Linked DNA regions of Schizosaccharomyces pombe. The gene in region 1 interacts genetically with each later gene. Each region holds a gene or a part of one and is shown in the gene's direction. Other genes may lie near its edges.

What was found. Genes that interact genetically often act in the same process or in processes that back each other up.
Region 2: of rpa43 (region 1) and rrn3, extra expression of one rescues a mutant of the other (dosage rescue), as found in Schizosaccharomyces pombe (one study listed by BioGRID).

The regions. Positions count from the first base shown.
Region 1 is NC_003423.3:3,999,962-4,003,233, reverse strand, and holds rpa43 (DNA-directed RNA polymerase I complex subunit Rpa43), read left to right. Parts: upstream 1-1,990; 5' UTR 1,991-2,003; coding exon 2,004-2,271; exon of another isoform or gene 2,272-2,377; coding exon 2,378-2,576; exon of another isoform or gene 2,577-2,642; coding exon 2,643-2,697; 3' UTR 2,698-2,767; downstream 2,768-3,272. Other genes in the region: mnh1 (protein mago nashi), read left to right, coding at 581-606, 653-690, 743-769, 842-895, 947-1,010, 1,053-1,140, 1,210-1,356. UniProt on the Schizosaccharomyces pombe protein: DNA-dependent RNA polymerase catalyzes the transcription of DNA into RNA using the four ribonucleoside triphosphates as substrates. Component of RNA polymerase I which synthesizes ribosomal RNA precursors.
Region 2 is NC_003424.3:2,236,187-2,241,254, reverse strand, and holds rrn3 (RNA polymerase I general transcription inititation factor subunit Rrn3), read left to right. Parts: upstream 1-1,991; 5' UTR 1,992-2,207; intron 2,208-2,350; 5' UTR 2,351-2,459; coding exon 2,460-4,259; 3' UTR 4,260-4,543; downstream 4,544-5,068. Other genes in the region: SPOM_SPAC18G6.13 (uncharacterized protein), read right to left, coding at 1-242; SPOM_SPAC18G6.12C (uncharacterized protein), read left to right, coding at 825-1,754; lem2 (LEM domain nuclear inner membrane protein Heh1/Lem2), read right to left, coding at 4,591-5,068.

The DNA.
Region 1 (3,272 bases):
CTAGTCGAGACCAACAATTGATTTGAGATAATCTGTGAGTACGACTTTCGCTTTATTTAGCTACCTTTAAAAAAAATATTTTTGGATGACAGCTGTGAATGTCGATATATAAATAACATAAATGAAGCCTGTCAAAAGCTCGATTTAATATGTTACAATAAAAAAATCAAACCGTAGTCTTAATAAAAAACAACCCAAGGATCACAAACTAGCGATAAAAGATGCAACAGTGCCAGAATAACTTTTGTAAATGCAGTGAAATAAGTCGTGGAACGTTAAAAGGTCCCAGAAAAATAACTTGTCAAGATTTAACCTGAATTTGGAAAAAGCCTTTAAGGAATTAAAAGACTTTGATTTACAGATATAGACTTAGCAGTCAATATATAATGTCAACGAATTCATCAAAGATACACTGTATATTGAATTACCCACGAACTTTGATTGTCGAGCTCCAAAAATTGGATGCACTAGTGTATTGTGTTATTTAAAATAGTGAATCACTATATGCTTCGTATCTTTGACCAAGAGTTTACCTCTCAGCAGTAGTCATCGAAGCCATCATATTCCTATTTGCTCGAAAATGAGTGATTTTTATGTTCGATACTAGTATGCAAAAAAGCTGTAAATAGTTTTGAATGCTAACTGACTGAAGCTCGGGACACCATGGTCGATTCGGACACGAGTTCTTGGGTACGCGATAATATTAGACGCAAGGTCGCGCAGCTAACCAAACATTTGCTAGAATTCGATTATCATAGTGATGGGCTAGGTATGAATAGAGTCAACAATTTTCTGATTCATATTAGCAACAGTGGTTTGACATGAATACTAATTCAATTAGCTAGATACGCAAACAATTCTAACTATCGGAACGATTCGTTAATCCGAAAGGAGAGTATGTTTTAGTACTACATTTCTGTTCGATCGTATTAACAAAGCCTTAAAGTGTTCGTCAGTGAGCTTGTTTTAAAAGAAGTTCAACGTATTGTAGATGACAGTGAGATCATAAAGCAAGTCATTTCTTTCAATTTTTTATACTAACTACTATTTAGAGAATCAGATGAAAGTTGGCCACCTGAAAATAAAGATGGTAAGCAGGAACTTGAAATTCGTATGAATGGAAAACACATCATGTTTGAAGTAAGATTGCTCTTCATTTGGCATAAATATATTCATTCTAGATACTTTTAAGCTAATATAAACTACTAGACCTGTAAACTTGGAAGTTTGGCAGACGTTCAAAATAGTGATGATCCAGAAGGGCTAAAAGTTTTCTACTACCTAATTCAAGATTTAAAAGCATTGTGCTTTAGTCTCATCTCCCTAAATTTTAAGCTCCGACCTGTTAAAAACTAGATGCATTCCATTTTCTTATATATTAGGGCGAAAAAGTTTTATGTGAAACATTGGTTTACTATTTGGGTTTGATTACCTTTGTTTCGTTTCTAAATGTACAGTCTCAAAGCTGAAAAACGTTCGAGCTTTAGGAAGGAATTTCAGTTTTTATGCTAAATTAACCGTATTGCACTTTTAATTCCATATCATAAGCGGTTAAGAATTGACTATTTATTTGGGAACATCTTAGAATATGGCAACCATTCCATGGTAGTCGCGTTACAAAATCTTTTTTTCAATAAGATATCAAAAAAATCTTGAAATAATTTTAGCTATATTAAATAGACACTATTTGTATAGTAATGAGCGATTCACTTATTTTGTCTCAATAATATTCTTCATTTAAATAAGAGAAAAAAAAGGTAAAGTATTTCTTATTGTAATTAAAAAAAAAATTTCAATGTCTTGAGCACTGTAGTGACATGGTGTCATTTACAGAATTGGCATTTCTATTGATGCCATAGTATCGCCTATTTAGCTGTTAACCTTTCTCGAAGACATGATATGTTATATATGACCTTGGTTGATCAATTGAAGAGCTTTGTTTACCCTTGAACATATCTGTAAAACTGGATGCAGTCGATGAAGGAAATTTGCGTTCCGCCAACATGCCGGATTTATCACTCTACAAACAGACTGTAGATTTATACCTTTCCATTGCTCCTGGACACAGCAGGGATCCTTTAAATGCTATTCAGGAGCATATGGATAGTATGATTCTTAGCAAACTCCCAAGAATCAATGGAATAGTGTTGGCGTACGACAATATTCGATTCCTGGAAAAAAGTGCAAAGGTCATGTATGACTCCCCATTCTCCTTTATATGGGTCCGTGTAGACGTTTTAGTATTTTCTCCCAAAAAAGGCGATTGTTTAGGTATGAAATGCTTAGAAATTCGAGATTCTATGATGGATTTGTATCATGATAATTCAGTCGTGCAAAATTTTATACCAACTCCAAAATAAATGCTAACTATCACTAGAAGGAAAAATTAATTTAGTCAGTCCAAGTCATATTGGTCTATTAATTTTGGGTATTTTTAATGCATCTATTCCGCGAAAATCTATACCTAAAGATTGGATTTTTATTGAGCCCGATACTACGGAAGAACAAGGTCGTTGGAAGACAAATGATGGAAATATTCTGGAGCCTGGTAAAGATTTGGAGTTTGTAGTAGATGGGTATGTCGTAAACTATATACTGTTTTAACTAAAGTTTGATTAAATTATGACTAACAGTTAATCTAGTATACAAAGAGAAGCTGGGTTGACTATGGTTCAAGGGACGCTAGCAAATTCATAATAAGTATTTATATTCAAAATACAAAAGGATTGGTTACTTATGATTATGGATATTTGCCTAAGAAATTCCGGTTTATAGAATCGCGCTAAAACTAAACAGTAAGTTATTTTGAAGCGGTGTGTATGTACTTTCAATTGTATGATTTTATAAAAGTAGGCAATTGTTGATTTAAGCTTAAGGAATGAAATGAATGATAATTCATAGTTATCTTTTTTCTAGACTTTTGATTTCATCTAGTGATACTCTCATTTTCAATTTGTTGCATATAGACATTGAATGCTTTCCACAACCCAAGCGTTTGGAACTATTTATTTATAAATTCGACAGTTTAATATAACTTATGGACAGCCAGTTAGCCTGCAATTTATTGACAAAATAATTGGTTAAAATCTTCAAAAAGCACTATTTGATTTAATACGTCAGGTGAAGGATTAATATCTTCTTTAAATAAATCGAGATCTACTTATAACACATCAATGCTTAGACAAATAAGCTTAAGTTTTATTACCACGTTTGTTTTTCTGTATTTTAATAATAACATCAATAATAAAATTTTTTCAATTATCTCAAATTGA
Region 2 (5,068 bases), on another chromosome or scaffold:
TAAATTTCCTTCACAATTTTAATGTGGTCGTCAGTTTTAAGATATTGTGAGATAATTCCCGTCATCGGAACTGTAAATCCTTCTTTAAGTATTTGAAGCCTCCAATCCGCACATCCTCCATTAAACATCCATATGGCATGGCATAAATCTGCCACACAATTAACAGAGTCAACTAATTCAAGACTAGAAGTCTCAACCCATTGTTGAATTGGAAATTCGGTGCAGGAGACTTTGAGCCGCATACTAGTTCATAGAGGGTTAAAGTAGGAATTAAAAGTACAGAAAAAGCAACAGTTTCCTTGCCCATGTAAATTAATGTTGGTGAATTGATGAAATGTCCTGAATGCTAAGTTAGTTTGTAAAACTAAGTCCTTTTACAGATTCGATTAATTTCATATATTTGATCAGGCCAGCATAATTGATGAAAACCTATTACATTGTATTCTACAGTTATAAGCAACAAAAAGATCTATGCTTTTGTACAAATTGTTAAAAAAGTATTTCTACCAATTAGGTGATTTGTAAATAATCAAATACATAAATTATATATGATCAGCAAGTCAAACCACTACCCATTGAACGAAGCTTTGGAAGAAGCGAAAGGCGTTCTGAATACCGCTAAATTTTTGTAAAAAATCGAAACCCTGTAGAATCGTGTCATTTTGGTTGACCTAAACATAAGGTAATATATTAAGGGGGTCAATCATCCCTTTACCCACTTTTCCAGGTTTCTTGTGTAAGACATATAACTAATATACAATCTACAGTGCTATTAATTTTAAATTGTTTTTTAAAAAAGGAGGATTAACTGGTTTTTAAGCACGATGGCATTTTCCTTTCAGGTTTCAAAAATGAACTCATTTGACAACTATAATGCTGCAATTCATCCCAAGCACGACCTCATTTCAGTGAATGCTCCGGTATTTGGTAAGGATGCCAAATTGTCGCCTCATTTAGCTATCGTTTTAGCTGATAAGGGGTTCATGTTGGAGCAAGTATGTCTACCTTGGAGGTATTTTACAGATCGCGGGTTTGTAGTTGAATTCGTAATCGCCGAATCCATATTTCCTCCAAGACCCCCGAAACCTAATGATTCTTATATGACCGGCTGGAAGAGTCATGTACTCGGTGCTTCTAAGGAAATCTTAGACATATATAGCGTTCTCTGTACTCTGAATGAGTTCAACAATCCAAAATGCTATCGATCAAATGGTTTTACGTTTGATAATTTTAGTGCTGTTTTCATAACTGGAGGGAGAAATCCATTCGTGCGTGAGATGCTAGAAGACCCACTTTTACATGCCAGCCTGGTTCCTTACATCCATTCATGTCGTACAATTCAACCGGATGAAGAGGTTAAGGATAACAGAAAGATCAAAGTGTTAGGTGCCATTAGCCAGGGTGCGGCTGCAATTTATTTGGCAGAGCCTAACATCAACATGAAGACTACCACTATTCCTGCATGGATGGAGCGCTCAAATTCCTTTTTAAACCCAACACCGGATAACTCTACTTATCCCTATGCTGCCACTATAATCCCTAAGGATAAATACGTTTCTGGTCCATATCGTCGTGTCGCTTTTACATACCAGGATGAAAACTACTATTATATTTCAGGAAGAAGTAACAAGGATATTGGCGAATTATCGAAAAAAATGTATTTAATGTACAAACAGGCATACAAAGATTTAAATGCATCTTTGAGAGAGCGCCGCAGACGTTCTACTAGTAATCGAAGGAACTCTGGTATTTGAAGAAAACAATTATCACGCTTTATTTATTCTGTTTAATTGATTTTCGATCCGGTTTTATTTGGAAGATCCCTACTTTTCTTTGTTTAATATTACACTTAATTTGGTATCTACATAGTTTTTAACTTAGCATACATTAGAAATCGGTATCTATATTGCATTGTTTAGCAAAGAGCGCAATGCGCTGCATTTCAGTATATACTCAAATTTTCTTTACAAACTGTTAGCATAGTTTCTGCCAACCGCCACACATGGTTTGCTTTTACGTTGAATGAATTAATGATCACTCTTATAATTTAAATTTGTTTTATCTTACAAATTTATTTTGATTATTTTATCTGACTCATTTGAGACACCGAAAAGTTTTTGGGGTGTAAAATTCATTCGTGGGAAGTCCTGTAAATTTCTAAAAATTTAGCTTTTCGAAGCAAATTAACGGCTTAGTTTTTGGAAATTGTAAGGAAATGTTTTATTAATAAGAGAGATATAGCAATGTTTGGTTTTTTAAGCAATTGGGTCAACTTGACTTGAAACAGTTTATTTCCACATTTACTTTACTCTTAAGTTTTGGTTTAACTTTGAAACTAACTATTACAAAGTTTAGAATAACCATACGTGAATTTATCCGCTAGTGTTATTCTTATTATTTTTTTGTTTGCATCCATTCCTTTATCTGTGATTAGTGCAAGTGTTTATCTCGTCTTTACAATGCCTTCCATCATTTCCTCTACGAATCCTCAATATATTAATAAATGTGTTAACAACGGGACAATGGCATCTTCTACAAATGTTCCCGATCGTACTGTAGGTTCCAAAAGTTTTGCCTCTTCAGTTTCCAAAAATGATGGACGATTAATGCAACAAATGTTACGTGCTTTCGTCAATAAAGCTTTGGACGACAAAGCAGAAGGAAATTTTGCCGGTTATGAAGATCTTAGAAGACAGTTTGCTGCAAAAAGTGATACTAAAGATGCACCTTCCTCTCTGCAACTTCAAAACTTATTGTCGGCTTTGACGTGCAATGTTTCCAGATTGGATAGCTCTAATTCTTCTTTAGTTATGAGCGTACTAGATTCTGTTTGGGTGAGCAGAGATGAGTCCTTTGTGAGATGCTATACTCGATTTTTAGGAAATCTCATATCTGCACAATCTAATTACTTGCCGCTAGTTATGACTATGCTGATTCAGCATATGTTGTATCGGCCTGATAGTTTAGCAATCCATTATGAACATGCTCATATGGCTTTAAAATATGTGTTGGAACTTGTTCCCCGTGCGCATTCCTTCTTGTATAGTAGCATACTTGAGGAGTTTCCGTACAAGGACGAGAGCCTTTTAGCACAGATGACTTATATTTCGAACGTTTTAAGTATATGTGAATATGTACCATCAATTAAAGGTCCTGTATTGCATGCAATAATTGATAAAATTATCCAAATTGATGTGGAAATACAAGTAGAGGTTGATGATGATGATGAGGAGGAGGATGAAGTGGTAACAGATGATGATGGAACTAGCAATGCCGATTCTGAAGTTATTACAGCTTCAACGTTATATGAACGGCATACTGCTATTTCAAGTGAAATGACATCTAGCACAATATTGACTCCTCCCTCATTAACAGACACTCGTCAATTGATGCAGCAACTGGATCAGCTATTGTATACTTTATTTTCTTATTTAGATTCCAATTTAAAATCTACTAGTAGAGATCGTTACTTGGTTTATAATAGTTTGATTAAATCATTTGTGAACACGGTCCTTAAAACGTTCCGTTGTCGATATACTCAATTTTTGATATTTTGGGCTTCTCAGTTGGATCCCGAGTTTACTGATATTTTCCTTGGAGTGCTTACGGAAGTTTGTCTTGACCCATCACAACCTTATACTTTAAGATTAAGTGGTGCAATGTATATTGGGTCTTACGTTGCTAGAGCCAAAGCTTTAGAAAAAAATACAATTCAGATCATCGTTAATATGATGACTCGTTGGGTTGAAGCTTACTTAGATCAATGTGAAAACGAGCTGTCCGATGATTTACTATCTAAACACTCGGTTTTTTACGCAATTAATCAAAGTATTTTTTACATATTTTGCTTTCGTTGGCGTGAACTTTGTGTCTCTGATGAGTCTGAATCCATGGAGCCAAGACCTAACGAATGGATACCGGGCTTAGAGATACTTCATCGGTCCGTTCTTTCTCGGCTTAATCCATTGAGATACTGTTCCCCCAATATTGTACTTCAATTTGCAAAGGTTGCAAATCATCTCAATTTTATGTACGTCTATTCCATTATTGAGCAAAACAGAAAAGGAATTTTTAGAGAAGGGTTCGACACTATGGATGCCTATTTTCCCTTTGATCCTTACCGGCTTACGAAGTCTTCTATAATTGTTCAACCATTTTATAACGAATGGCAACAAATTCCAGGTTTGGATGATGACGAGGAAGAAGAAGACACAGACTACGAATCTTCAACCGTAATGTTGGGTGAATCTCCCTTTTGAATTCCTTTATTTTTTTTTAAATACCCTTTCTATGTGACATGTCCTATTTTTTCTCCGCTAATTTCTTACTCTAGACATGCCCATATTCAATCAAAAATGGTACTGGTTTTGGTTTTTATTTTAAAATAATTTATTTGGTATAACTAAGAATCACATTAATATAAGAAATACAGTTAAATTTCATCAACCTTGCAAACAAGTCCTCATTATACCAATTTTATGTTTCATTTTTAATATGTATAAGCATTCAGATAAATATATTATTAACTTACTTTTGTATTAGCTATGAAAAATGTCATAAATACAAAGCTAGAAATACAGTCGAGAATCATTATTCACGTAAAGGGGAAGTTGTATTAATAAATGAACGATCGGTTTGGAAATCCAAAGTATTTGTGCCGACCCACTCCCATACACGGGTCCATTCGCCGTCTACTTCTGATTCACGAGTTCTTACACTGCCAACTTGTTCAACACGTTCGACTATTGCTTCCCAAAGAGTTCGAGCAGTTGCTTTCGTCATATGAATTTGTTCCAATGGGCCATTTCCATGAAAGAGTATATCATGCATTTCGATTAGTGGTATAACGGGTTCTTGAGATCGAGACATTTGATAATTTGCTTTCTGTCTCTTCAAAGATTCTACACAGAATCGAGAAGCCGATGGTAGATACTTTGCTACGATACTGCGAGTACGAAAAAAATTGATGAGCTTAAAAATAACTCCTGACAACGCAAGGATTCCAAATAAAAAAACTTTGTTCCTCCAAACAAATTTTATCAGTTGCTGTTTTAAACGACACCGCAAA